Arabidopsis thaliana: one gene and its partners. The protein of the gene in region 1 purifies or fractionates together with the protein of each later gene. This does not show direct contact. Each region holds a gene or a part of one and is shown in the gene's direction. Other genes may lie near its edges.

The links.
Region 2: the proteins of AT3G23940 (region 1) and AXS1 fractionate together in Arabidopsis thaliana (co-fractionation; one large-scale study listed by BioGRID). This does not show direct contact.
Region 3: the proteins of AT3G23940 (region 1) and AT2G35040 fractionate together in Arabidopsis thaliana (co-fractionation; one large-scale study listed by BioGRID). This does not show direct contact.
Region 4: the proteins of AT3G23940 (region 1) and AXS2 fractionate together in Arabidopsis thaliana (co-fractionation; one large-scale study listed by BioGRID). This does not show direct contact.

The regions. Positions count from the first base shown.
Region 1 is NC_003074.8:8,645,854-8,653,580, forward strand, and holds AT3G23940 (dehydratase family), read left to right. Parts: upstream 1-2,815; 5' UTR 2,816-2,926; coding exon 2,927-3,454; intron 3,455-3,552; coding exon 3,553-3,624; intron 3,625-3,724; coding exon 3,725-3,772; intron 3,773-3,945; coding exon 3,946-4,100; intron 4,101-4,269; coding exon 4,270-4,464; intron 4,465-4,541; coding exon 4,542-4,653; intron 4,654-4,737; coding exon 4,738-4,807; intron 4,808-4,893; coding exon 4,894-4,952; intron 4,953-5,060; coding exon 5,061-5,184; intron 5,185-5,278; coding exon 5,279-5,349; intron 5,350-5,428; coding exon 5,429-5,530; intron 5,531-5,741; coding exon 5,742-5,822; intron 5,823-6,164; coding exon 6,165-6,323; intron 6,324-6,419; coding exon 6,420-6,470; 3' UTR 6,471-6,752; downstream 6,753-7,727. Other genes in the region: AT3G23930 (troponin T, skeletal protein), read left to right, coding at 1,175-1,565, 1,639-1,922; AT3G23950 (F-box family protein), read right to left, coding at 7,055-7,727. UniProt on the Arabidopsis thaliana protein: Functions in the biosynthesis of branched-chain amino acids.
Region 2 is NC_003071.7:11,862,959-11,869,704, reverse strand, and holds AXS1 (UDP-D-apiose/UDP-D-xylose synthase 1), read left to right. Parts: upstream 1-2,706; 5' UTR 2,707-2,861; coding exon 2,862-3,137; intron 3,138-3,295; coding exon 3,296-3,388; intron 3,389-3,489; coding exon 3,490-3,597; intron 3,598-3,876; coding exon 3,877-3,991; intron 3,992-4,066; coding exon 4,067-4,200; intron 4,201-4,288; coding exon 4,289-4,390; intron 4,391-4,499; coding exon 4,500-4,592; intron 4,593-4,681; coding exon 4,682-4,817; intron 4,818-4,908; coding exon 4,909-5,021; 3' UTR 5,022-5,428; downstream 5,429-6,746. Other genes in the region: HDT4 (histone deacetylase-related / HD-like protein), read right to left, coding at 5,998-6,047, 6,143-6,284, 6,376-6,434, 6,528-6,563, 6,648-6,667. UniProt on the Arabidopsis thaliana protein: Together with AXS2, catalyzes the conversion of UDP-D-glucuronate into a mixture of UDP-D-apiose (UDP-Api) as the main product and UDP-D-xylose to a lesser extent, via a cycle of oxidation and reduction.
Region 3 is NC_003071.7:14,764,066-14,771,316, reverse strand, and holds AT2G35040 (AICARFT/IMPCHase bienzyme family protein), read left to right. Parts: upstream 1-2,998; 5' UTR 2,999-3,047; coding exon 3,048-3,155; intron 3,156-3,229; exon of another isoform or gene 3,230-3,248; coding exon 3,249-3,348; intron 3,349-3,445; coding exon 3,446-3,521; intron 3,522-3,624; coding exon 3,625-3,721; intron 3,722-3,877; coding exon 3,878-3,980; intron 3,981-4,087; coding exon 4,088-4,221; intron 4,222-4,317; coding exon 4,318-4,495; intron 4,496-4,580; coding exon 4,581-4,738; intron 4,739-4,868; coding exon 4,869-5,078; intron 5,079-5,148; coding exon 5,149-5,496; intron 5,497-5,585; coding exon 5,586-5,712; intron 5,713-5,818; coding exon 5,819-5,970; 3' UTR 5,971-6,172; downstream 6,173-7,251. Other genes in the region: AT2G35050 (kinase superfamily with octicosapeptide/Phox/Bem1p domain-containing protein), read right to left, coding at 1-1,609; URED (urease accessory protein D), read left to right, coding at 6,272-6,370, 6,456-6,521, 6,607-6,681, 6,780-6,824, 6,959-7,192.
Region 4 is NC_003070.9:2,572,182-2,579,378, reverse strand, and holds AXS2 (UDP-D-apiose/UDP-D-xylose synthase 2), read left to right. Parts: upstream 1-2,534; 5' UTR 2,535-2,769; coding exon 2,770-3,045; intron 3,046-3,192; coding exon 3,193-3,285; intron 3,286-3,409; coding exon 3,410-3,517; intron 3,518-3,982; coding exon 3,983-4,097; intron 4,098-4,178; coding exon 4,179-4,312; intron 4,313-4,401; coding exon 4,402-4,503; intron 4,504-4,599; coding exon 4,600-4,692; intron 4,693-4,785; coding exon 4,786-4,921; intron 4,922-5,007; coding exon 5,008-5,120; 3' UTR 5,121-5,561; downstream 5,562-7,197. Other genes in the region: AT1G08210 (Eukaryotic aspartyl protease family protein), read left to right, coding at 287-514, 902-1,064, 1,266-1,339, 1,422-1,515, 1,803-1,869, 1,951-2,022, 2,100-2,260; VPS41 (vacuolar protein sorting 41), read right to left, coding at 6,237-6,713, 6,802-6,883, 7,102-7,187. UniProt on the Arabidopsis thaliana protein: Together with AXS1, catalyzes the conversion of UDP-D-glucuronate into a mixture of UDP-D-apiose (UDP-Api) as the main product and UDP-D-xylose to a lesser extent, via a cycle of oxidation and reduction.

The DNA.
Region 1 (7,727 bases):
ATTGTACGTTTGGTATTCGGGTCGAGCTATTTGCATGTGGTGAGGTTGTATGAAACTATCTGCTAAAAAACATTTAGTCTTACGAGGCCAGAACTAGTCGGACATTTACCCTGCCACTAAAGTAAATTAAGGTAAACCTAATTTCAGAAGCTATTAAACAATGTTTTCACCAAAAGAACGACTAAAATTAGGGAGACAGAGCACTAAGTAATAATTAGGGATTCTTGTAATAAAAGGAAAATATGAGATATACTTAACAAATAATTAAGGACAGATAGAGGAGCCGGATTAATAGGGAAGTTCACGTGAAGGCACAGCTTAAACCAGCTGAGCCAAACACATATACTAAATTCTCATTCTCACAAACAAAAATCGTGGGTCCAATCTTGATTATGTGGCTGTAAAACCTAAAAACATAAACTATTCACATGAATAAGATTTTGATTAGACAACAGTCTTACTTTTGTCTCTTCCTCTATAAGATTAATCTGACCCTTGAGCCACTCAAAAACAGGTATGTCTATATTCATTTCCTAATGTGACATCTACACACATATTATCTCTTTTTTTTTTAATCATGTGACTGTAGAAACTGATTAGTAAATAGTAATAGGAAAACAAAATACTTAGTATAGAGTTATATAGAGTATAGAGAGAGGGATGGGTCCAAATAGTTGATGATGGACCATGTGAAAAAAACAATGAAAGCCCACACCATTAATTGTGGTAAAGGATGAGAATCTAGTGTTGTAGTTTTCCATGTCCTTAAACGGTTAAACCTATCTTCTAACAAAATTCTCCACCTTCCCTTCTGACATCTCCCATCACTTCTCTCTTAATTTATTCCATCCATTCCACCAAATTTTTAGTTTCACTTTTTTTACTGTAGTGTGTTTACACTTGTGAGTGAGTGAAAAAGTAAAGCTAGAGAGGTTACTGTTTTGAGATGCTCTTTTTAGAAAGGGCCATATATAAATGGTAGTGTAGTAGTACTAGTGGAGCTTCTTCATATACAATTTTGACTTCTCTTCATTGAATGTAGGAGAGAGGCTCTTTACATCATAAATAAAACAAGAACACAGCTTTCAGAGAGATAGAGTGAGATTCTCCTTCATTAACATATTCTTCTTCATGTTATAAGAAGAAGAAGAAGAAGTGTCCAAAAGGATTAGAGATGGGTGGATGCACAAGCAAGCAAGAGAGGAGAGGTGTGAGAAGTGTGAAGGAGACATCAAAAGACCAAAGCAGAGGAAGAAGACACCTGATAAAAGAGAGAGATGAGAGAGAGAAAGTGATGTTTCTTCAGCTTAAAGAGGCGGAGAGAGAGTGGAGAAAAGAGAGGAAGAAGCTGAGAGAGGAAGTGAGAAGACTAAGGAAGAAGCTAGAGGAAAGAGAAGAAGCAAAGACAACAACAACAGAGGAAAGAGAGTATTGGAAGTGGGTGGTTGAGGAGATGTGTGTAGAGAGAGCAGTGAGAGATGAAGCCGTTGAGAAATGGAAACAACTCTATTTAGCTATCAAGAATGAGCTTGATCATCTCATCTCCCACACTACTTCTTCCTCCGGTAAAATAAACTCAACTTATTTCAACTTAAAATTAGAAAAAGTAAATAGGATCTTTAAAGTGTGTGTTTGTAGGAGAAGCAATCATGCAAAGGAAACTTGAGGAACAAGAAGAAGAAGAAACAGAAGCAAAGAGAGTTGAAGTATTGAGAGATGAAGTTAGAGTTAAAGAAGAGACAGTTGAGACACTTGAAGAGCAAATAGTTTTGATGGATAGACAAAAGTATGAGAAAGAAAGAGAGATTGACTTATTGAGACAGAGTCTAAGGATTCTTGGAAGCAAGAAGAAAAAGAAGACAGGATCATTCGCATCAATGAATCTGTTGATATTGAAGACCAAATGTGTCGAATGTACATAAACACTTTTTACTCAAATAGTCTTCTGCAAACAGTCATATCTCGTCAGAGAATCTTGATCCACAATGTCATATTTATTTCTCTTTTGGTTATTTTACAATTTTTATTTTGGAAATATAGTAAATCATAGCACTATGAGTTCAAAAAGCACATGTCCCATGAAAGATTTGCACAAATCGTTTTTTTTTTTTTTTGTTGGAGTTAGATACAATTCTTTAGCAATAATGATAATGAACCATTTTTCCAAAGAACAGAAACTGTGGAAAAAAACTTACTAGACACTAAAAGTCTAAAACACCACTTGCTTTTTTATAGCCCAAGAAACTTCTAGTTCTAATTAAGAATGTCCAACTTCCGGTTCGGTTACTGAAAATTATCAAATTTTTGTTAGATGAGATAAAGAAGTGAATCCTACAAGAAATATATCATGTGGTTCGGTTTGGTACAATTTTGATTTCTGCTAGGGTTTTATCCTTTTTAGCAAAATTTACTTTAATTTCCGTAGTAAAAAAGAAGAAGTTTTAGTTGGTTTATTTCTTATTTTTGCTTCGATTACGGCATTTAATTTTAGCAATATTTCATTAACAAAAAAAAACAATTCTAATTGGTTTATTTCTACTTCTTTTTCTGTCTTGGTTTGATCTCTATTACTATATTGATTATGAAAAAAATATGAAACCAAAACCATTTATTATGTCTTCAATTCCATTTTTAACCCAATTATTTCACTACAATTGTAATAACCGGTTATTGCACCCCTAATTATAACTATTTAAGCAATCGCATATACCAAACCAGCGAGTTAAACCAAATTGTTTCCCAAATTATGCTAAACGACAGCGTTTTCACAAATTACCAAAAAAACCTATTTTTCTGTATCTATCTGAATTCAGAGTCCTGACCATTTTATCTCACTCTCACAAAGTCTTCACTTTTGAAGTGTCTCCTCCACACGCACTGCGCCGCCAAAAAACCCTTCTTTAAACCCTTTCCTCCTCGCGCCGTCATGCAAGCCACCATCTTCTCTCCACGCGCCACTCTCTTCCCCTGTAAACCTCTCCTCCCTTCCCACAATGTCAACTCTCGCCGTCCCTCAATCATCTCCTGCTCCGCCCAATCCGTAACCGCTGATCCTTCACCACCTATCACTGACACCAATAAGCTCAACAAATACAGCTCAAGAATCACTGAACCCAAATCCCAAGGTGGGTCTCAAGCAATTCTTCACGGTGTTGGTTTATCAGACGACGATTTGCTAAAACCCCAGATTGGTATCTCGTCGGTTTGGTATGAAGGGAACACTTGTAACATGCATTTGCTGAAATTGTCTGAGGCTGTGAAAGAAGGAGTTGAAAATGCAGGAATGGTTGGGTTTAGGTTTAATACTATTGGTGTGAGTGATGCTATTTCGATGGGAACGAGAGGGATGTGTTTTAGTTTGCAATCTAGGGATTTGATTGCTGATAGTATTGAGACTGTTATGAGTGCTCAGTGGTATGATGGTAACATATCTATTCCCGGTTGTGATAAAAATGTGAGTTTTTTTTTTTTAATCATCGATCTTTGTGTTGTCTTTATCTCCATGTTTTATGTGATTTGTTTGCTATAATGTTATTGTTGTAATACTTTTAGATGCCTGGAACTATTATGGCTATGGGAAGGCTTAACAGACCAGGGATTATGGTTTATGGTGGAACCATTAAGGTACTTACTTTTATCAAATTGATGAGAAGATAGTTTCTTAAACCCTAAACCCTTGTGCCTAGTTGGATAGCCTATTCACCTTGCTTTGATATTATTGCAGCCTGGCCATTTTCAAGACAAGACATATGACATTGTATCTGCTTTCCAGGTATCTTTTCTTCTATCTGCTACGAGCTTGGTTATAACAATTTTAATGTGTATTTATGAGACTTCATTGAGTTTTCCAATTTTGGGATTGAGTTACAGAAATCTTGGTGACTTTGGTGTCAAATTGTACCAGTACTTGTGGGATTCATCATGTTTTCCAATTTTGTATTTCAGAGTTATGGAGAATTTGTTAGTGGCTCCATAAGTGATGAACAGAGAAAGACTGTCCTCCATCATTCATGTCCTGGAGCTGGAGCCTGTGGTGGCATGTACACAGCGAATACAATGGCTTCTGCTATCGAAGCAATGGGAATGTCCCTTCCTTACAGGTGAGGCTTTCAGTCCTGAAGACCACATTTATAAATCAACTTCAAACGTTTTCCCAGATTTGTGCTTAATAGAAAGTTATTTCCACAAGAACATTGTAGATCCTAAACTGTAATTGTGGAATGCTTATTTCAAAAGTTCATATATTTGCTTCTTCTTTTTTTTTTGAAGTTCTTCAATACCTGCTGAAGACCCATTGAAGTTGGACGAGTGTCGCTTAGCAGGAAAATATCTTCTAGAATTGCTAAAGATGGACTTAAAACCCCGTGACATTATCACTCCAAAATCACTTCGTAATGCAATGGTTTCCGTCATGGCCCTTGGGGGATCGACAAATGCAGTATTGCATCTAATTGCTATTGCAAGGTGACAGATTGTTATGATGTTTCTTATTATTACCATGGAAAGCAATGGACCGAAGTAATGAATGGAAATGATTTCAGGTCTGTTGGTTTGGAGTTGACTCTTGACGATTTTCAGAAAGTTAGCGATGCGGTTCCATTTCTAGCAGATCTTAAACCCAGTGGGAAGTATGTTATGGAGGATATACATAAGGTAAGGCTTTGGCGAAATCGTTTTGCTTATTACTTATCTGTTTTTTTATTGGTCAGTTTGTAAGTTTTGTTGTTTAATCTACAGATAGGTGGTACGCCAGCTGTTCTCCGCTATTTATTAGAGCTAGGATTGATGGATGGTGATTGTATGACAGGTAGAAATGCTCAAACATTTTATAAACTGACTTAGCAATTTGGATTGATGTGAAATGGCATAACTACGCTTTTGTATCTCTACCAGTGACAGGGCAGACTTTGGCTCAAAATTTAGAAAACGTCCCAAGCTTAACAGAAGGGCAGGTATTTGTAATGTTATTAGTTATCTCATTAGATTCTACCGCCTGTTTCTTCTTGATTATGATGGTTGTTAGTTATACAGGATTCTAATTAATTCTGATAATGTTCCAGGAGATAATTAGACCTCTGTCAAATCCAATCAAGGAGACTGGACACATACAAATTTTGAGAGGAGACCTTGCACCAGATGGTTCTGTAGCAAAAATTACCGGCAAAGAGGGCTTATATTTCTCTGGTAATGTTGGTTCACTCTAGTACCTCCTTTACACTCCATATTTAGCTAATGCTTCTGAATATTAGGGCTTATATGATGGAACTATTTATTTTAGGTCCTGCACTTGTATTTGAAGGAGAGGAATCTATGTTGGCTGCTATATCAGCAGACCCAATGAGTTTTAAGGTAATTTCCTTTCTGATATGAAGTTCATCTCAGGAGCTGGTTATATATCTTTTATCTGATGAAATGTATCGTGTTTCAGGGAACTGTGGTTGTTATCAGAGGAGAGGGGCCTAAAGGAGGTCCAGGTATGCCTGAGATGTTGACACCGACAAGTGCAATAATGGGTGCCGGTCTTGGAAAGGTATGATATGACCAGTATGACTGGGTTAGTGAGACATTTATTAAGTCTGATCAATTTTTATGTTCTAAATTAAAGAACTCGTTATTTTTCCTTTGATATGGTCTGACTATATTATGCTTATGGTAGTGACCTAAATCTTTTTATCTACTTTGTCCATATCCGAGAACACACCTTATATAAAGTGCCAATATGTTGCTATTGGGTGATGCAGGAATGTGCATTACTGACTGATGGTAGGTTCTCTGGTGGGTCACACGGTTTTGTTGTTGGCCACATTTGCCCTGAAGCTCAGGTCTCTCTCTCTCCCTTTTTTTTTTCTCTCTGCCCACTGGCTCCATCAGAGCAAAATTCTAAATTTTGCACTTGCAAGATAAATTTGATAGATCCATGTCCCTCTTCTGGGATATTTTTCTTGTGTATTGAAAAATAAATGCTACTGGGTCATAGTCATATATAGTTTTAGCAAAAAGGAACAAGGGTCAAGGGATCCTGTAATAGTTTGTGGTGGCTCTTATGCAGTTATGATGATTTTGGAATATTTCAAATAATAAAACTGATATTAATGTGATTGGAGAATGTGAAGATAATAATGCTGAAAGCAATTCTCCGGTGTGCTTACTATTTATCTGTGCAGGAGGGTGGTCCGATCGGTCTGATCAAGAACGGAGACATAATCACCATTGACATAGGAAAGAAGAGAATAGACACACAAGTCTCACCCGAAGAAATGAATGACCGTAGAAAGAAATGGACTGCTCCTGCATACAAGGTTAACCGCGGAGTCCTATATAAGGTACTATACGAATCCACTTGTATCTATATAATGTATGTCTCTTTGACATCTGATGGATTAGTTTCTAATGAATGGTTTATGATATTCTAAAAACAGTACATCAAGAACGTGCAATCGGCTTCAGATGGATGTGTGACTGACGAGTAAAGTGAACGATCTAAGAGAGAGTTTTGTGAATGAGCAGCAGAATGTAGTGTACGTTCATGAGGGAATTTGTAAGTTTATTTATTGTAGCTTCTAGATCATGTTACTTTGTGACTGATCATTAGCTATTTGCAGGGTTCGTTTTTAAGATTTTGTTTCTCTTAAATGTCAAAATAAAAACTTGTGATTGTGGCCGAATTCCAAAGAATATAAAGACAGAATAAAGACGGATTTGCATAAATACTTGTCTATGAGATTGAACTTAAGAGCCAATGTGGCAAACCAGCTATGCGTGAATAAGCTTGACGTTCTCTACATGGTTTAGAAAGATGTGAAATCCACTAACCTTAAAGGCTTGGGTTCCTTGGATTTCAAGTCTTTTCATCGTCTTTCTCTCGTTTCTGTAGGAGACAACATAAGGGTCATAAGAATAGTAAAACTCGAGCATGGTAATTAATATTTGATTCGACCAATTTATATCAAGGTGCAAGTATTTGTCTCAAAGGCTCGAGCATGACATCTCACAGAATTGTAAAATCATTCACATTTGAAATTTGATATCAAACTTAAAACAGAATCAATATAAACTAATTAGAAGGCTGTGGACGAGGGAGACGGGACAACCAACGAGGGAGAACATACTGTGAAGCGAGGAGAAGGTTAGGACCACCTTGAAACGATGGGGAAAAGTATCTATGAACGGTCTCCATATACTCGTTGCACCAGTTAAAGCTCAAGGTGCAACCATCCATACACTTCCTCTCGTCTTCGGATTCCTTGTGAAGACTAAACACATGCGTCCTCAAGTTAAACAAGACCATACCTTTCTTGTTTCTGCTCCACAAGTAGATGATCTCAGACTTCAAAGGATGCATCACCACCGGGAAGTAATCGATACCTAGCTTGGTCACAGACGCCAAGCTGGCTTCCCAAAAGAGCTGCCACGCCTCAGGACCATCAGTGTACTTGACCAGCCTCCAAACCCGTACTTTGCGGTTTGCGTTCCCACCAAACTCGTTGAAATACACAATAGACCCTTCCGAGGTAGTGATTGTTCTCCGAAAACGCGGTAACTCGTAATCTTTTCCATTATCGGGGAAATAAATGATACTACACGCATCATGATGACCTCCATAGAAATCGTAAGCTAAAAAAGAACCGGTGAGGTTGGAAAGCCAATGAAGAATCCCATTTAAAGCAATGGACTTGTGATGACTAAACCAATAGGCAGAATGAAGACAAGTCACATTTTTAATTTCC
Region 2 (6,746 bases), on another chromosome or scaffold:
ACCAATTTTTCCAATCCAGTTTCAGGCCAATCCAACCCATTTTTAAAATTCTTAAATCTTTATTGTAGAACATGGTTTTATGTTGATCAAATAGTGGTGTCCGTATAACTTTTAAGTGATTTGCAATCATATTTGGGCTATATCTAAACCTGAGACTTTGAGCCGACCGGTTTATTCGATTTCGGTTTGTCAGTTTTGCAGATTATTCAGAAAACAAAACCTATCCCGAATCAAACTTATTCCACATTATTCAGTTCGTTCGATTCGGACACTCATATATATATATATATATTTTTATTGTTTTCTCCTTTTATTTGTTTGCATCTAACTAGTGTTCTTAATTTTCCTTTTCCATAAGAAAAAACTAGGAGTATGTTTAGTTGTATTTGTAATCTTTGGTATCATTTAGGTGTAACTTGGGATTTGGGAAAAATACATGATTCAAGTTTGGTTGGAACGTGTTGTATGATAATGAAGAAGCACTGAAGCATTGATCAGTCAAAATGCTCGGGAAAAGGATGATTATATGAATGTTGTTGCATAGGGTACAACTTTGTGATAAGAAACAAACAACCTCGCATTGTATTATTTATTGTATAGCGAGTAGGAAGTAGTACTATACGATACTTCTTCCTATAAAGTTATATATTTATAAAGGTATAAATAAATATATACCTACGAAAAGAAAAAGTAATTAAATTTGTAAATGGATTTGTGCAAAATCCAAATTTTAAAGAAAGGTATGGTTAGGATATTTGATGAGAGTTTCGAGGGTTTTGCTTCTCGGAAAGGTACCTAATTATTCATCATTTTTTCTCTTCTTTTTTTGTCTCAATCCTTTTTTGAAAAGACCAAAAAAAAAAAGCAACGAGAAATTAGCATCTTTTTTTCATCATATGTGTATGTATATCAATGATCGAACGGTCGTCAGCTCACTGTGAGGCAACACATGAATCCAATTAGTTCTCAAAATTTATCCATTATCCACAATTCCACATAATGGTTAGCGATATTCATATAAACTCTCTTCATAATGATTTTTTTGTTGAAAAAACTTCTGATACTACGACATGCAAATTAGAAGCAGTATTAAGAAACTTACTTTTTTTTTTGACACACTATTTAAGAAACTACTTAAGAGTTAAGAGTTAAGACTGAAGCTTAATTAAAATAACGTCAATAAAATCATATTTTGTTTAAATTATTTCCCTTTTTGGGCAAATAATTAAATTATTTCCTAACCAGTTTAAGTTTCGTAATGCAAAATGGAATCTCTAATGTTGCTGGGTCAAGTTTTCTTCTACGTAGAAAAGACTTTTTGTATTGATTCCCCAAAGCCATTCTTCTCAATGTAAATTTGATTTTATCAGAAATAATAACCCAAAAAAAATACTCCAAATGTCTTTTCAATATAAAAATTAATAATTTGACTTGATATCAATCGGAAATTACAAGAGAGTATGGGAAGTCGTGGTACCGGAGAGAGTGCGGCTCTTCCTATGGCTTGGAATGCAGCAAGTTCTGATGACGAATGCTGAGAGGAGGAGGAGGCATCTAAGTGATTCGGACATTTGCCAAATCTGTAAAGGAGCTGAAAAAACAATCATACATATTCTTCGTGATTGTCCTGCTATGGAAGGCATTTGGATCCGCTTAGTTCCTGCGGGTAAGCGCCGAGAGTTCTTTACACAATCGTTATTGGAGTGGTTGTTTGCTAATCTGGGTGATAGGCGGAAGACTTGTGAGAGTACTTGGTCAACTTTATTTGCTTTGTCTATTTGGTGGGCCTGGAAATGGCGGTGTGGCAACATTTTTGGTGTTCAAGACAAATGTCGAGATCGGGTGCGTTTCTTAAAGGATCTGGCTAGGGAGACGTCCATGGCTCATGTGATAGTCAGGACACTGAGTGGGGGTCATGGAGAACGGGTGGAAAGACTGATCGCGTGGTCGAAACCCGAGGAAGGTTGGTGGAAACTTAATACGGATGGGGCTTCCAGAGGTAATCCGGGTTTAGCGTCTGCTGGTGGTGTGCTACGAGATGAGGAAGGAGCTTGGAGAGGAGGTTTTGCTCTGAACATTGGAGTTTGTTCAGCACCTTTGGCAGAGCTATGGGGAGTGTACTATGGCCTCTACATTGCTTGGGAGCGACGAGTCACACGGTTAGAGATTGAGGTGGACTCAGAGATTGTTGTGGGTTTTTTGAAGATAGGGATAAACGAGGTACATCCGCTGTCTTTCCTGGTACGATTGTGCCATGACTTCATATCAAGGGACTGGAGAGTCCGTATTTCACACGTTTATAGGGAAGCTAACCGTCTTGCTGACGGGTTAGCCAACTATGCATTTTCGTTACCATTAGGTTTTCATTCTCTTAGTTTGGTTCCGGATTCTTTACGTTTTATTTTGTTGGATGACACTAGTGGAGCTACGGTTTCACGTCAAGTGCGAATGTAATTTTCTTTTTCATTAATAAATCTTGGGAGACTTTGTCTCCCTTGGCTTACCCAAAAAAAAAAATCGAAAGTTACAAAGAACGATTTATCTAGTTAAAAAGAAGTTTTTTCTTAACTCTTAAACACAATTATTAGACTACTAAACATTCATAATTAATAATCATACAAAATGATTAGTCGAACAAATAAAATATCGCATCCTTTCCAATTTAAACGAGATCACGTGGAAGCGAGTACACACCACGCGCCGATACAGAGAGTGAGATTTCAAAATTCGACGAACCAATTTGCCTCCGTTCACATGCGATGCATCTTCTCTCTTAAATATCCACCGTCACCACTCTCTCTTCCTCTTTAGATTCTCTCTCTACAGAGAACTTGATTATTTTTTCTGATCTGAGAAAAAAAATGGCGAATGGAGCTAATAGAGTGGATCTCGACGGGAAACCGATACAACCGTTGACAATATGCATGATCGGCGCCGGAGGTTTCATCGGTTCACATCTCTGTGAAAAGCTCTTGACCGAGACGCCACATAAGGTGCTTGCGCTCGATGTTTACAACGATAAGATCAAACACTTGCTTGAGCCTGATACCGTTGAATGGAGTGGTCGGATCCAGTTTCATCGTATCAATATTAAGCATGATTCGAGACTTGAAGGTCTTGTTAAGATGGCGGATCTGGTAAAAATGCTTATCGATTTCGTTTTTTGATCTCTTGTTCTTCGGTGTTTATGATAGAAGTCTCAGATCTGATTCGTTATCGGAATTCAGATGTTTCGCAATGTATTGAGATCGGTGATGTTGTGATGTAATTCTGATGTTTCTTTTTGGATTCGCAGATTATAAATCTTGCTGCGATCTGTACTCCAGCTGATTACAATACACGTCCTCTTGATACTATCTACAGCAATTTCATTGATGCGCTTCCAGTTGTATGTGTTTTCTTCTTAGCTTCGTTCATTGTTTTGCTTTAGCTCTTGTTTTTGAAGTTGATGGAGACAGTGATGATTGTGTAATGCGTTGGTTTTGTTAGGTGAAATACTGTTCTGAGAACAACAAGCGTCTCATTCACTTTTCTACCTGTGAAGTTTATGGAAAAACCATTGGAAGCTTTCTTCCTAAGGATCATCCTCTGCGTGATGTAATGCCTTTTTGTACATTTCGCTTTCCACATGTTATTGTCTTTTTATCAATCTCATCGATGAATGTACTGAGGAACATGTTGAAGCTGACGTTTTCGTTCGTTTTAATAGCCACATTATGAATTACTCATTGGATCTCGTTAAACGTATTTTTGAATTGAATTAAGACTTTAGTCCGCTAGTCTATCACACACCCATAGAAGCTTGGAATAGTTGATATTATTCGTCTAAGGTTGGGTTCACTGTTTACTGATGTTGTTTGTTGTGCCTTTCTACAGGATCCTGCTTTCTATGTTCTTAAAGAAGATATTTCCCCTTGCATATTTGGTTCAATTGAGAAGCAGAGGTGGTCATATGCGTGTGCAAAGCAACTGATTGAGAGACTTGTTTACGGTAAGCATTTCTGTTTAAGATGATGTTGGTAAAAACAAAAGGTTTACACTTAACTTCACTTGTTTCTTGTGACAGCTGAGGGTGCTGAGAATGGGCTTGAGTTCACCATCGTACGACCTTTTAACTGGATTGGACCTAGGATGGATTTCATCCCCGGCATTGATGGTCCTAGCGAAGGTGTCCCACGTGTCCTTGCCTGCTTTAGTAACGTAAGTGTTCAAATCCAAGTATATAACCCAATGCTAGTCTGTGTATATATGCAAGCTTTTAGTTAATGCATCTCTATCTATCTTTCAGAATCTTCTACGTCGTGAGCCTCTCAAGCTTGTAGATGGTGGAGAATCACAGAGAACTTTCGTCTACATCAATGATGCTATTGAAGCTGTCCTTTTGATGATTGTACGTTCCATTGCCTGATATATAGCTTTTTGTTTACAAACTGTTAATGTTAGAAGTTCGAAGTAGTTTCAACTAAAACCTATAATGACATTGTATGTTTGTGGTTCAGGAAAACCCAGAGAGGGCAAATGGGCACATCTTCAACGTAGGCAACCCGAACAACGAAGTTACAGTAAGACAGCTCGCTGAAATGATGACCGAGGTGAGGAAGATGGATCAGTTAGGAAACTATGAAAATAGTTTGATTTCTCTGTCGCTGGTTCTCAATTCTCAAAACGAATCATGTTTCAGGTTTACGCAAAAGTGAGTGGAGAAGGAGCCATTGAGAGCCCAACGGTTGATGTTAGCTCCAAAGAGTTTTACGGGGAAGGTTATGATGACAGTGACAAGAGAATCCCAGACATGACCATCATTAACCGCCAACTCGGTAATTCTTCATAATCACCAACATGATAGATAATATGCTTTAAAATCAAAATCAATTGCTATTCTGATAGAATTTTGGACTTTGAAAATAGGATGGAACCCGAAAACATCGCTATGGGACTTGCTCGAGTCGACCTTAACCTACCAGCACAGGACATACGCTGAAGCTGTGAAGAAGGCAACATCCAAACCAGTGGCTTCCTAAACTCTCCAAGACCCCAACGAAACTCGTTAAACACGCGTCATTTTGGCATTTTACTCTATTCGATTCTATTTTTTTCATCCCAGAGAAAACTTTTTTTCTTTTTTCTTTTTAAGAAAACGATATAATCACGGTGGTTCGTTCCAAGTATACCTTTTCGTTTGTAAGTTTTCTCTTTTTGTTTGGTTTGTTTGGCCATGTATGTCGGAGCTGTCAGAAAGCAAGAGGTTAATCGTTTGTAGCGAATGATAAATGTTCGAGTGTATATTTTAAAATGCTTCGTTTTACATGTGTACAAGTACAAGAACAAATGTAATTATCTTCTGTCAAGTAACACATTGTGTTTCGTTCAGAAAAAAAACAAGTGGACTACAGAGTATGAAAGAAAGTCTAGTAGTTTTGGAACGCTCGACAATTAAATTCGATTTTATTTTTAAATTGTAATATATAAATCACAAGTAGCGTCTGTAGTCCAACGGTTAGGATAATTGCCTTCCAAGCAATAGACCCGGGTTCGACTCCCGGCAGACGCATTATCATTATTTTTATATTTTGAATTGTTTTCACTGAATTTTTAATTCAATGAAGGCAAAGCAAACTAGAAGAAAATGAGTCTTTTTTTCTTTCTTTCTAACTCATGTACATAAAATACATTGTTAGAGCATATTCTAGTTCAACTATTTCTGATTTAATATACTCCATCTACTTAGTATTGCGATCAAGATTAGATCATAACATATCGACATTGTATAGTACTTATCATGAATCAGCCAGCAACTTCGAAATTTTATGAACTTGAAAAGAGCAAAAATCATATTTCATTTAAACCCATTAACACTCCAAAATGACAACATAACATATATTATAATAATCCAAAAATTTTAAGATGCCAAAAGCCTCATAAGTCACTCAACGATTCACCAATACAGTCAAGTAAAAATTTCTATTGGAAAAATGTGACTTGGTGTGCAAATATCTTCTACTTTTTGCAAGAGGGACCACAAGGGAATGGGCATCTCTTCTTCCCTCCTGCACCAAAATGGTTTTAAACCAAATCAATAATCCACAATTCTCATCTCATATGCAAAGTTATCTTTATATATCTTAACTTTAGTTTTCGTTACCTGATGACTTGTTCTTCTTTCCACCTTTAGCTATCTCAAATGCACCATTTGGCATCTTTTTGCTCGGAGGAGCCACCTTTAAAGGTGCTTCAGCCTCTACATCTTCTTCATCTGAAGAGTCATCATCCTCGTCCAAACCCATCTAACCAAACATACAGAAAAAAACAACAAGATTACCTTTTTTTTTATACTGATTCATTGCTAATCAGTAAATACTTAAAAGAAAAATCTACCTCATCTGAGTCGGATTCATCATCTTCTTCAGGATTGATCTCATTTTGAGGCAAAGCAGCTTTTCAACAATGTCAAAGTTAGATTTCATAAGAGATACACATGTAAATATGACTACCACAAAGCAGTAGCTTAGTAAAAAAAGTAAACATACCAATTTGTTGTTCCATATATTCATCTAACTCAGAATCTACACAAACCAAAAAGCAAAAGATTAGCTTCAAGCTTCATAATAGAGTAAACCAAATCATCAACTAAAGAATTATAAACTCACCAGAATCAATCTCCTCATCCGTGAGCATCAGAAAAAAGCAGAGCAAAACAAAATCAAGGATAAACAAACAAAGCTTCAAAATTGCAAGTGAGTATGAAT
Region 3 (7,251 bases), on another chromosome or scaffold:
TAGATGTTTGTGTGACAATTGGAGCTTCTTCCTTCGGGAGGTCATCTGGGACTATTAAATCACTAGGCATAGAAGAAACAGGATACTCATTGACCCTTGGGGTTGAGGATTCTCTCCTCATCTTTGGCTCCTTTGCTGAAAGATTGCTCTCGACAGTAGATATAGGATGATCATTTACCTTCTGAAATGAGTCATCTCTTCTCATTTTGGCCTCTTTTGATGAAGTTTCTGGATCTTGTACATGAAAGATCTGCTCCTCACGCAAAAATCCTTGCTCAGGTTTTTGTGGATAGTGGGGCACCAGGCTTTCAAGAGGTGTTTCAGGATTCACAGAATACGGGATATAATGAGGTTGTGGTTGAACATGTAAAGGAGCAGACCTCTTCTCATCTATATAGCCTATGCTTGCCATGTGACCTGACGTGTAAATTTGGTGGTTACCAAGTCCGGGGAACTGCAATTGTTGTCCTAGATAAGGCTGTGAAAATGGCTCATTTCCAGTAGAAAATCCTGTTACAGGTTGAGAAGTTTGGCTCGCTGGTAAAGATTCATTACCTGCTAAGGGAGTAAGCGAAGCCACTGCTGGTTCTGTAGCAGCCCGATCGATCTTCCTATCAAAATTCCCATGAAGTAGTTCATCCAAATTGTTCCCGGGAGGACTTAATCCAAGGGAACTTCTCCGTGAACTTAGATCCATCCCATTGACAGCAACAACATACTGAACCTCAGAATCACCCTCTGCATGTTCCATAACAAACTGAGCCTCCTCTATATCACTGCTTGAAAACAAGAACATCCTGGGCTTCTCAGATCCTCCATTACCAAACACGATACATTCTTCCATCATGTTTTGTAAATCCTCGTCAGAAGATACAGAGACTAGGGCATCAAGATCCTCTCCTGGCAGCTGATATTTTATGGTGCGTGCTTCAGGAAATATTTCTTTCATTTTATGCATGAGTTCTTGGAAAGAAATAGTCTTGCTAATCCGTATGATACGCGTTTCACCACCTACATACCTAAGTTTCTGATCTCTGGGGCGGGGTATAACTTTACCACCAAAACTACACAAGAACTTCGCACGGTTCAAAGAGCTATCAGAAGCTCTAGAAGAAACCAAACTATGACGCCTTTGACCAGTATCATTTTTCGAAGAGATAACTGGGGCTGACTGGACCAGTTCATGATAGGTCTTATCTTCAATTCTAGAAGGGGGTTTCCTCTCGTGCTCAAAGCTCTGACGTTTTTCTTCTATGTTAAGCACTGTAGCGTTAGGGCCACTCTCTGACATTGGATGAACCATTCCCAGAGCACTTAAGTTAACAGAAACAGGCATACCACTGTGCTCACCATACACATTTGGGATGAACTGCGGTTTCATAATAACCCTATCTCTCATAAACTCAAAAGCAAATTCTTCACCGGTCTGTATTGAGTAGTTTAGCACTGGCCGAGCAGGGGTTGAAACACCATAATCTGGAGGTCGTACATAAGTGTTAACATTAGTTGAAGAGTCGTGGGAAAACCTTTGATTAATGGAGCCAAGTCCCTCATCTCTAGGGTCAGGGGCAGTATACCGAACATGTTCATAACCTTTTGCTTGATCCATGTTTTCTTTCTCAAGGTGTCTATCTATCTAGTTCATAAGCTCCCTCACAAACGCTTGTAGGCGACATATCATGATCATGACCCAAGTAAAATCTTTGCATAAGCATCCTTCGCAAATTTCTAACGTTTTGGCTGCAGAACAGGACGACTTCTATCATGAACAACTCAAACTCTCATTGAGGTGCCTGAAATAGGAGAAGAGTAACTTTACTCAAGTAGTCAAACATATTCAAGAACAAAAAAACCAAAATAGCATACGGCTAAAACTCAGAAAACCATACTATTTAAGGAACATTTTCGGTATACAAACCAATAAAACTCTTTACTCTAGCAGGGACAGATCATCCAGTACAAATATCTGACTGTGCATACTTTCCAACATGAAACTAGCTAAAATGACTACTTTCTAGTCTCTTCAAGTTTAAACTAACAGGAATCGCTGAAACTAAAATCGATCAACTTCACCAAACTATTAGCAAACCCATCGTAACTTTGAGAGAGTGTAAATCAACAGATCAAAACATAGAACTAAATCCAAAATTCAATCAAGTCCGTGAAACAATTCCAAACCTCAAAAAGGAAACAAATAAGCGTCATTTCGAACCAAAAACTGAGCTAAAAACCTCTACCCAACCAAAAAACAAAAGCCGATCAAGCCATCAAAACCACTGAAACTCTAGAAAATGCAAGATCTGAGTATCATTACCCGAAATTCAGGTGGAAACACATCGGATCCAGAGATTTTCGATAATAATGATCAAAATTCAAAAACAGCATACACCTAAAAGGAAGACGAGTAAGCAAAGAAGGAGAGAAGTAGAGAAAAAGGTTTATACCAGGAAAGGCGGCACCAGAGACTGTGAAGCGTCCTCGGTTTGACGATCGATGAGTAGGAGAAGAAGCCAAGTCCTTCCTTAAAATCTCTCTTCTAATTTTGACAATTCGAAAAACAAAACTATATTCTCGAGAAAAAAACTATTATGCCTACCAATAAAATAATTGTTATCTACTTACATTATTTAAAATTCTGAAAAGCAAATAAAATATCATATAAAACATAAGAAGCTTTCGTCATCTCCATAGTTAGTCTTTTGTAATATTACCACTCTGATCCAATAAAGTTTTATTTCTTACTAATTAGTTTACACTTGAGAATTTTGGTTTCTACTAAATTTTTTAAAATTTGGAGTTAAAATAGTTTAGTTTTATTTTTGGGGGAAATAAAAAGAGAAGCTTTATTCCAATTTTCCAAATATTCCAGGTGTAATCTAACTGTCAAGGCCATAATAATAAATACATAATTCCACCTGACGCCAATAATAAATTACATATTTTCCTTTTTTTTTTATTTTTTTTTCTAATTTATTTCCAAAATTAGCCGCAAAATCACAAAACCTAACAGAGCTCAACACTACACACTGTTTCAAAATCAGACTACTATGCTCAGCTCAGCCGCCACCGCCACCTCCGTGAGTGCTCGCTCCGGCGATATTCTCTGCGGCTTGTTTCGCAAAAAATCCGTCGCGCCTTTTCGTTTTACTCAGCCTGTGAGTTCTCCTCTGTGTGTGGACGTGTTCCTTTGTGTCTTTGTTTCATGTTCTGCTAAACTTTTTAATATTAGTGGAATTTTCAATGAGCAGGTCTATCGTACGTCGCTGTGTCCAAGTTTCGTTGCTGTTCGAGCCATGGCAGAGTCTCAGACTGCTCAGAGGAATCAGCCGCAATCCTCAGGCTCCTCTGGTTTACAATTTTTCTTTTTGCTGCAATTTCAAATTCAGTGATCGATTTTCAGTTACGTTTTAGTGATTTTCAAATAATCGGGCTTTAATTGAATCAGGGGAGAAGCAAGCTTTGATATCTCTATCTGACAAGAGGGACTTGGCTTCTCTTGGCAACGGTCTGCAAGAATTGGGGTATGTGTTCTTCACAACTCTCTCTTACTTAGAACTATACAAATTTTGGTTTTGTTTCTATCTTATATGTAAATGATTCCTTTTTTCATTGATATTTGTGTAGATACACTATTGTTTCTACTGGAGGAACTGCCTCTACTTTGGAGAATGCTGGAGTCTCTGTGACCAAAGTGGAGAAGCTTACTCATTTTCCAGAAATGGCATGTTTTTCTTTTCTCTTATGCTCGCTGCTCTTGCTAAAAGTTTTGGTCTTGTGATCTCGCTGATATTTATATTTAAGTTTTGGTTTATACCATTGTTTTGTTGAGTTTAGTATATTAAACTTAGCTCTCCTTTTTTTTTTTCTTCTCTTAAAGCTTGATGGCCGTGTGAAAACTTTGCATCCAAACATACATGGTGGTATCCTCGCTAGAAGGGATGTGGAGCATCATATGGAAGCTCTTAATGAGCATGGGATTGGTGAGTTTTGACCTTTGATTGATCCTCTACATTAAGCTTGAGACTAAGTCATTTATAGTGTCTCCTTATGTTTAACTGTACCTTTTTTTTTTTTAATTCTATGACAGGTACATTTGATGTTGTGGTTGTCAATTTGTACCCGTTCTATGAAAAAGTTACTGCTCCAGGTGGGATCAGTTTTGAGGATGGGATTGAGAACATTGACATTGGTGGCCCTGCTATGATTAGAGCAGCTGCTAAGGTAATACATATATCTGTGCATATGAGACTTTTTCTTTACACTTGCAAGATTATTTTCAAGATTATAAATGTATATTTTCTATTGTTTTTTCAACAGAACCACAAAGACGTTCTCATTGTTGTCGATTCAGGAGATTATCAAGCTGTTTTGGAGTATCTCAAAGGAGGACAGAGCGACCAACAATTCCGCAGAAAACTTGCGTGGAAGGCCTTTCAGCATGTTGCTGCATATGATTCTGCGGTTTCAGAATGGCTATGGAAGCAGACTGAAGGAAGTATGTGATTGTTTTTATGTGATCCTCCTTACACTAGTTATGGCAATTGGCAACTTACATTGATTGATATTCATGTCTTTCTCAGAAGAGAAGTTCCCTCCCAGCTTTACAGTTCCGCTTGTACTTAAGAGTTCTCTTCGTTACGGTGAAAATCCTCATCAAAAAGCTGCATTTTATGTTGATAAGAGCCTTGCTGAAGTGAATGCCGGTGGTATCGCAACAGCGATTCAGCATCATGGAAAGGTAAGAAAGTATGCTACTTTTTCTGTCCGGTGTAATTTACAGAGCAAATAGTTTTAAACTGCCATTTATATCCTTATCCTCGCTTTCAAGCCTTATTATGTTTAACTTTTCTATTTATTTCTGTGAGCAGGAAATGTCATACAACAACTATCTTGATGCTGACGCTGCATGGAACTGTGTGTCGGAATTTGAAAACCCAACATGTGTAGTCGTGAAGCATACAAATCCTTGTGGTGTGGCCTCTCGTGATGATATTCTTGAGGCTTACCGGCTAGCTGTAAAAGCTGACCCAGTTAGTGCCTTTGGTGGCATTGTAGCTTTCAATGTTGAAGTTGACGAGGTAATCAAAAGTCAAACTACTGTTGTCCCATACATTATTCAATTGTTTAGTGATCTGTAACTGTCTCTAGGTTCTTGCGAGGGAGATCCGAGAGTTCAGGAGCCCAACAGACGGGGAAACTAGAATGTTTTATGAAATCGTGGTTGCTCCAAAGTATACTGCTAAAGGTCTTGAAGTCCTCAAAGGGAAATCAAAAACTTTGAGGATCCTCGAAGCTAAAAAGAATGACCAAGGGAAACTATCGCTCAGACAGGTTGGTGGCGGCTGGTTGGCTCAGGACTCGGACGATTTAACTCCAGAAGACATCAGCTTCAATTCTGTCTCAGACAAAACTCCGACTGAAAGCGAACTTGCGGATGCAAAATTTGCCTGGCTCTGCGTTAAGCATGTCAAGAGCAATGCCATTGTGATAGCAAAGGTTGGATTTTCCTCTCTGATTCCTTTTCTTGTTTCTCTTTCTGTACTTGTTTGCTAGTAGTTTATTCTGATTCTTGGGTTGGCTCATAGAACAATTGTATGCTGGGGATGGGAAGCGGACAGCCAAACCGAGTAGAGAGTCTGAGAATAGCTTTCAAGAAAGCTGGGGAGGAAGCTAAAGGAGCTGCCTTGGCCAGTGACGCATTCTTCCCATTCGGTATATATATTTTTCTCTCCGAAACCATTCTTCTGTCTGAAATGACTCATCAATCAACAAATGTTAGCCGTTCTGAATTGGAAATTTGTTGTTGTGTGAATTGCAGCTTGGAAAGATGCGGTGGAAGAGGCGTGCCAGATGGGAATAGGAGTGATAGCAGAACCTGGAGGCAGTATTAGAGACCAAGACGCTATTGATTGCTGCAAAAAGTATGGAGTCTCTCTGCTCTTCACCAACGTTAGACATTTCCGCCATTAAGGACACATCCCTCCAGTTTTGCTCTTATAAACACATCCAAGAGAGTTTCTGAAGAAGAAAACCCACCAAACAAAACACAAAGAGTGGGAAATAAAACTGTTGTAACATTAATTTGGATTGCGTTCGAGTTTATGTATGATTAGAACCTGAGAGCTGTTCCTACTTATAAATTTGACATTTTTCACCCAAAATCATATCTTTCTCTACATCCAGAAACTGATGAGATTTGCATATAAAATATTCAACATTTCTACTCAAACTGGAGTGAGAAAGTCGACGACAGTGTGGAGAGAGATCAGAGATGGCGACAGGGAAAGTGGTGGTGGAGAAAGTGGGAGGAAGATCTACAGCTACGAGCTGCTTCTCGAAGTATCCTCTCAAGTTCTTACTTCCTAGCAAGGTCTCCTCTCTCTCTCTACGTAGAGTTCACAGTTTCGAATTTTCAATCTTTAGTTATTAAAGTTCCGGCGACACTGAACTTTCAGGCAGCTCCTGCTGGAACTGACGTTGTCTGGATTTACAGTATCACTTATGGTGGCGGCATTGTCTCTGTATTTCCCTATTTCTCTGTCTCTTTATTAATGAATTTGCCATCGATGCGCTTGAATCAATCTAGTTCTTGTTCAAATTATGTAGGGCGATTCGATTTCATGTGAATTCACAATTGGTGATGGATGCACTGCAGTTATTACAACGCAGTCTTCTACTAAGGTTGAATCAATTTAGGGCTTTTCTCTCTCTTTGCAATGGACACTAATTTCATCCTACGTGGTTGACTTTCTGTTGATGGATCTTGTGATTTCACACAGGTGTACAAGGCAATAGGATCAAAGTGTTCTGAACAGATATTGGAAGTAATGTTTCTTTCACATTTCTACTAAAATCATTTTGAGCTTTCTTAGTAGAACAGAGTGCTATTGCAATAGAATAGGACCATTTTCTTTGATTCATGTTCCTGATTGATCTTTCGGTTTGTTGTGTGCAGTAGGCGAGAATCGGGAGTGAAGCTCTTTTGGTTGTGATACCAGATCCAGTGACTTGCTTCTCCACTGCCCGGTACTATCAGAAACAGATCTTTAGATTGCTTTCAGATTCCAATCTGGTCCTTGTGGATTGGATCACAAGCGGGCGTCACGCTAATGGCGAAAAATGGGATTTCGAGTTTTATAAGAGCATCAACAACGTCTACCTGGAAGATGATCACCCTTTATTCCTTGACACAGTTAGTTAAAATCTCATACCCACTTTCAGATTTGTAGAGAATGGTTTACCTTAAACCAA
Region 4 (7,197 bases), on another chromosome or scaffold:
TCCCATAGGTTTTATCTTGCATTTGGAATCCCCTTTCGATAATGATGATTTCTTTAGTATGGTGCATTGCCTTCTCTAAATTTAACTAATGACTGCATCTTCGGGGGGGAGAAAATGTTGGCCAAATGAGAAACAATATTTCTGCCTATCAAATACACTCATTAGTTTTATGTTTAAGTAATTAACATCTACCAGGAAGTACAATATGATCTAACTTCCAAATCATCTTTTCTGTACTGTTTCAACTTTCAAAATATGTGATGCTTGTCTTCAATATTGCTAACAGGTGTAGCAATTTACAATCTGGAGATTTACAGAGGCCTAGAAGAGCAGTAGATGGCATCTTTGGGTTAGGACAAGGGAGTTTATCAGTAATTTCTCAGCTTGCTGTGCAAGGACTCGCGCCACGAGTATTCTCGCATTGTCTGAAGGGAGATAAAAGCGGTGGAGGTATAATGGTTCTAGGTCAAATCAAGAGGCCAGATACCGTCTATACTCCTCTTGTTCCATCACAGTGAGTTCTCAATCTTTCTATTATACATTTAAACTCTTATCATATTACGTAAAGAGAAGCACAGGTAGATTTTGGGGTACTTAACATCATGATGAATCAGACTTCAATGTTAGGGTAGGATTCCTAGATTTATTTTTGTATAAGACAAGGAGGTAGATCCAGGGTTTAACTGATGATTATGAAAGTCATTTACACAGATATAAATGCGAGAGTTGTTACAATATCTGCTATATCATTCTGCTTGTAGGAATCATATGATCCAGAAATAGACATTTTGTAGCTGACTCTATGGAAATAATATGCAGTTCGTATATCTTGGGTTAGGAAAATCAAAATATATAAACCCACGTCTTGATTCAGATAATATGCTGCAAAAAAATATTTCAGGCCACATTATAATGTGAACCTGCAGAGCATTGCTGTGAACGGTCAGATATTACCGATTGATCCATCTGTTTTCACAATAGCCACTGGTGATGGAACGATAATTGATACGGGAACGACTCTTGCTTATCTTCCCGACGAAGCTTATAGTCCATTCATCCAAGCTGTGAGTGTTTTTTTCTTCCTCAGTTCACCTTCAGCTTTTTCAGTCACCAAACCGTGTATACCATATTCAGTAGTTTTTGCCATTGTTGAAAGTATCTGTCCTCAAATGTTACATTTTTGGAATGAAATTACAATTCGATGTAGACGATATATGTTATTAGACCTTACAAAAAAGAAGATTTATAAAACGTTCAACCTGCAGGTTGCAAATGCTGTTTCGCAGTACGGGCGTCCCATTACCTATGAGAGTTACCAATGCTTTGAAATCACAGCTGGGTAAAGTTCTTCTCATGTGTATGTATATATAAGAAGCTATTATCTCCTATGCTTAAGTGCTAAAAAGATCTCCATGTTGCAGTGACGTTGATGTCTTTCCCCAAGTTAGTTTGAGCTTTGCTGGTGGTGCATCAATGGTCTTAGGACCCCGTGCATATCTTCAGATTTTTTCTAGTGTAAGCATATTCATACACTTACACTACTTCATAAATTGTCTTTTAGTGTGTCAATGATAAGCTTTGAAAAAGTTTAGCTGCTCAACTCTTAGCTATACGTCTACTATATCTAGCCTAAGACTGTATCTAGCAGATTAGAGGTGTTAGGGGTTTGTAAGCGAGCCGTTAGTGAGGGCTGGGACGTTGGGTTTATAAGGATGTCTCAACAGATTGTTTTGGGTGTGGATTTCTCTTAAGGTTTACAGTTTGAAAAATTTGATATGATAATTTTTCTTTTGCTATTTCAGTCAGGAAGTTCAATATGGTGCATTGGTTTCCAGAGAATGTCTCATCGTCGTATAACAATTCTTGGTGGTAACTACTCTTGTTTGTTAACTCAATCAAGTGAAACTGTAACAGTGCAGCTATTTTTCTCAATGAGTGATTGCTTTGCAGATTTGGTTCTTAAAGACAAAGTGGTGGTCTACGATCTAGTTCGCCAACGTATTGGATGGGCAGAATACGACTGTGAGTGTGTTATCTATTTTACCACAGAGCAATAACGAAATTGGAATACAAATGCAGATAATGAAATTCCATTCCAGGTTCTCTGGAGGTGAATGTTTCAGCATCAAGAGGAGGACGAAGCAAAGACGTTATAAACACAGGACAATGGAGAGAAAGCGGTTCGGAGAGTTTTAATAGAAGTTATTACTTGTTACAACTAGTAGTCTTCCTTGTCCACCTTTTTGCTCGTTTCTTGTAGTAGCTTTTAGCATTCACTCCACCAATTATGGTTGGACTTTGTAAGCTTATATTATTGTAATTTAATCACACTAATTAATTCTTACTTACCCACCCACCACTTCTCTCGTTTCTCTGTTTAATCAACCTCCTATCTACCACTAAGGCCACCGACGAATTAGCACAATTTTACATGTCGGTGTAAAGCAACAAACATACCCAAAAAAAAATTGAAACTATATACTGTAGTTGTAATCTACTAGTTTTAAAATAGATTTCACGTGAACAATCAGCAGATTCATAATAATTGACTTAAGAGAGAATATGACACGTAACGAAAACATTAATTTCACGTGGTGGGAGTAATGTGCAAGGCTGTGAGAGTGTAGGGAACATTATTATACGCCTTTAAATATCCATCTCTCATTTCTTTCTTTCTTTTCTCCCATTCTCACAAATCTCTCTTCCACCCATTGTTATCTCTGTAGAAGCGTGAGAGAGATCACGCGTGTTCACCGACACAATCAAAATATGGCGAACGGAGCCGATAGATTGGATCTGGACGGTAAACCGATTAAGCCGATGACGATATGCATGATCGGTGCCGGAGGTTTCATTGGCTCTCATCTCTGTGAGAAGCTTATGACGGAGACTCCTCACAAGGTTCTTGCGCTTGATGTTTACAATGATAAGATCAAGCACTTGCTTGAGCCTGATACCGTTCAATGGGCTGGTCGGATCCAGTTTCATCGTATCAACATTAAGCATGATTCTAGACTTGAAGGACTGATCAAGATGGCAGATCTGGTATTTGTTCTTCGTTTCTTCTTAGTAAATCGTTAATGTGAAAATGTTGAATGTGAAGACTCAGATCTGATTCGTTATGTGAAATCGAATTTCGAATTGTGGATGTCTTGTTTAATTAATCTGTTGTTGTTGTTTTGGATTTTGCAGACGATAAATCTAGCTGCGATCTGTACTCCAGCAGATTACAATACGCGTCCTCTTGACACTATCTACAGCAATTTCATTGATGCTCTCCCAGTGGTATGTATTTTATGCTTTTGCAGTTTGTTTGGTTTAGTGGAGCAATTTTGTAAGTTTGAGGAATATTTTTATGTGATACGGATTTTAGTTGTGACATTGAGTGGTCATTGGTTTTGGTATGTAGGTTAAATACTGCTCAGAGAACAACAAGCGTCTGATTCACTTTTCCACTTGTGAAGTGTATGGAAAAACTATAGGAAGCTTTCTTCCAAAGGATCATCCTCTGCGTCAGGTCAGTATTTTTCTCCCTTTTTCACTCTGATCATTTCATTTGTCTTATGCATCACTTTTTGCTGATTGTCGTTATCAAGAGGATCAGGAAACTATGTTAATTATGTACATTGGCACACTCACTTAAGATTGATACGGAAATTTATATACTAATGCAGTTATTGTTGTTATATGAAGTCTTGTTTACTGATCTAAAGAGTAACGTAAACTTGTTATAATAAGCCTATCACTATCCACTTTAATAGTGTTTGTAATATCGAGAAAATGTAGTTTGTTTTCCTGCAATTACCTGAGTATGGCTTTGAGCCCTAACTACTGCATGAGAGTCTTTTGTTTTACTTTTTGCCTTACTTTCTTATGTCAAGTAGATATTCGTTCGTGTCACGTGGTTCTTATTACTACTTTTGTCTCTGTGTTTTGTTATTATTTCACTACTCACCAATGATGCTCGTCTTGTTTACTACAGGATCCTGAATTTTATGTACTCAAAGAAGATATATCCCCTTGCATCTTTGGTTCAATTGAGAAGCAGAGGTGGTCATATGCTTGTGCAAAGCAACTTATTGAGAGACTTGTTTACGGTATGTAGTTTTCTTACACGAAAGAAATTTTTTGTTTCTAGACACAAAAAAGTTTCTCACGTCACTTTTTTCTGGTTGCAGCTGAGGGTGCTGAGAATGGACTCGAGTTCACCATTGTAAGACCATTCAACTGGATTGGACCTAGGATGGATTTCATCCCTGGCATTGATGGTCCTAGCGAGGGTGTCCCACGGGTTCTAGCGTGCTTTAGTAACGTAAGTATACAGGCTTAGTCCAATGACCTGAGTTCTTCTCATGGCTGCAGCTTAACTTTTTTGTTTAACTTTTTGGTGGGTATTTTCAGAATCTTCTGCGACGGGAGCCTCTCAAGCTTGTGGATGGTGGAGAATCACAGAGAACCTTCATCTACATCAAAGATGCTATCGAAGCTGTCCTTTTGATGATCGTGAGTTTCATTCATTGCTTATCCCTGGTGATATATCGTTTGTTTTTATATTATTAAAGAAGTTGCATCTGAATTGCTTGCGGAATTCTTTACCAGGAAAATCCAGAGAGAGCCAATGGGCATATCTTCAATGTAGGCAACCCAAACAATGAAGTGACAGTGAGACAACTTGCTGAAATGATGACTGAGGTGAGAAAAATTGGTCATAGATAAGAATCTGAGTGATTTTCGATAAAACTATTATAGCACACGCTCAAATGTTGCAAAACAAAAAATGGACAGGTCTACGCCAAAGTGAGTGGAGAGACAGCTATCGAGAGTCCAACGATCGACGTGAGCTCCAAAGAGTTTTATGGAGAAGGTTATGATGACAGCGACAAGAGAATCCCAGACATGACCATCATCAACCGTCAACTTGGTAACTTCCTCTTTTCTTGTCTGATTAGTCTTTTCTAACAGTCACAATGTTTTTCTAATAAATACTCTGGTGTGGACAATAATTAGGATGGAACCCGAAGACGTCGCTTTGGGACTTGCTTGAATCGACCTTAACATACCAGCACACGACTTATGCGGAAGCCATTAAGAAGGCCACTTCAAAACCAGTCGCATCTTAGAGGTCGTCTCTCTTTACAAACACCTCAAATCATGTGGTGGCTACGATTCCATTCTTTCTTTTTAAAAAAAAAATTCTCCCAACAGAAACCTTCTCTTCCCTTATTTTAGGCCATTCTAAACAAATGATATATCATGGTGGTTGATTCTAGTTTACGTTTTCCTTGTTATATAGTATTACTGTTAATGTTTTTGAATTCCTTTGTTTTGAAGCTTTATATCTTGTATTTGTCCGAAACTAAAAAGGGAATGGTTTGTGCAAACTATAACATTGGGGCTTTCTTTATATGTTACATATCTTTGGCGGATTCCACACTTCACTTCTATATCTGCCTGGTTGTAATAAACGAGTTAGTTTGGCTTTTGCTCGTGTTGCTGTGTTATGTGAATATATACCTTAATTAGAAATGCCTAAGGTCTGTCTTTTTTTTTTGCCGTCTAAACATTTTTATTAGAAACATAGAATAAAATAGTACTACAAAAACAGAGCATTACAGCTCAAGAAGAAAAACAGAGCATAGGTGCTCATACACTTATAGAAAATTATTTACAAAATTTGTTTCCCAATCTATATTTCAGAAAAAAAACGTACTCATAGGAAACGGTGAATTAGCTATCATGTATTTAAAAAAAAAAAAAAAAGATGACAAGATCGCCGACCAAAACAAAAATAAGATCATAAGATCAAAGAACAAGAGAGCTGTCACATATATTTTACTCTCTGCTAAACGACAAACAACAAGAAGCAGTACACTGAAAATGGAATTATCGGAAATGACGATTTTTTTGTAGATCGAGGACAGAGGAGCCAAAAAAAAAAATGTAAATGTTTCAGGTATGGGCTTAGAAACTAAGCGTAAAGAGAAGGAAGAGAAACAAACTTGGCCTTTGTAAAAAACTCAAAGTCAATTCAATCGTAACACTTGGCCACTCATCGGGAAATAATACAAAGGCACAAATTCTGGCACACATGTTTTCTCCATCTCTCGCCTTTCTCTTTTTGCTATATTTTAGAGAACTACAGAACAAACAATGAACATTTTCTTCTTTAAAAAAAAATATATATATGTTCGAAGCACACCAAAAATACTTCACAAACACATGCACAAAAGGGGTCGCTACCGAGCGGACGCAGCGGCGGCAGTAGTACATAATATGCACCGTAAACGCGACCGCCCAGGTCTGTCTCCATCACCATCCTCATCTTCTTCCTCATCCTCTTCCTCCTCATCCACACCGTTATCGTAGCTATATTCATACCCCGAAGAACCTTTGGTTGTCTTGTGATTGTTGTTACTGAAGGCTGCATCCATGAGGCACGTCTCGTGGTAAGCATGGCAGCAGAAGAAGACCACTACAGTGTCCCCTCTTATCGAGACCGGGTCGAAGCACATACAACACCGTGTGTCCCCCCGTGTCTTCGACTTCACTTCTGTCATCTTTATGCTCAAAGATTTATCTACTACCATTCTCTGCGAGAATGATGAGCGATTATTGTCTTCTCTCTTCGCACGGGAATCGTCGTCTTCATGGCTCAGGCAGACCCCACGCCTAGCCTCGTTGAAGCATTTGACCAGAAGATTAACAATATCCGTCTGTACAACAACCCCCACACGTCAAATTCCCTGGAGTCTGTTCCAGATATATATGATTAGAGGGACATTGGTGACATTAAATTTGTACCTTGAGAATGTCATTGCAACCGTGTCTAAGAGATGTCTCAGTTCTGTAATCTGTTACGATTTTGACCAATCGATCCCTTAATCTGAAAGCAGAAGAAACAATGAGGAGAACATTATTTTGATGAAAAGTGTTCAGGAAGCATATGATTCTGCCAATGCTCTGTGTGCGAACTTAGCTTTGGGTAAACCAACAGGTTTGGCATCACATAGATGAGGGTCGATGTTTATTTAAGTAAGAACACGTGATTGAACCAACTCATGAATAGAGTAACAGCAATGAGGGGTAATAGTTAAAACTAACCGAGGTATTTCCAAGCCATTTGGGACCATATTTACAATGTAAAGAGGGTCGAGGTTGCCAACTGTGTGCTCCAACAGCAAGCCCACCTAAAATTGG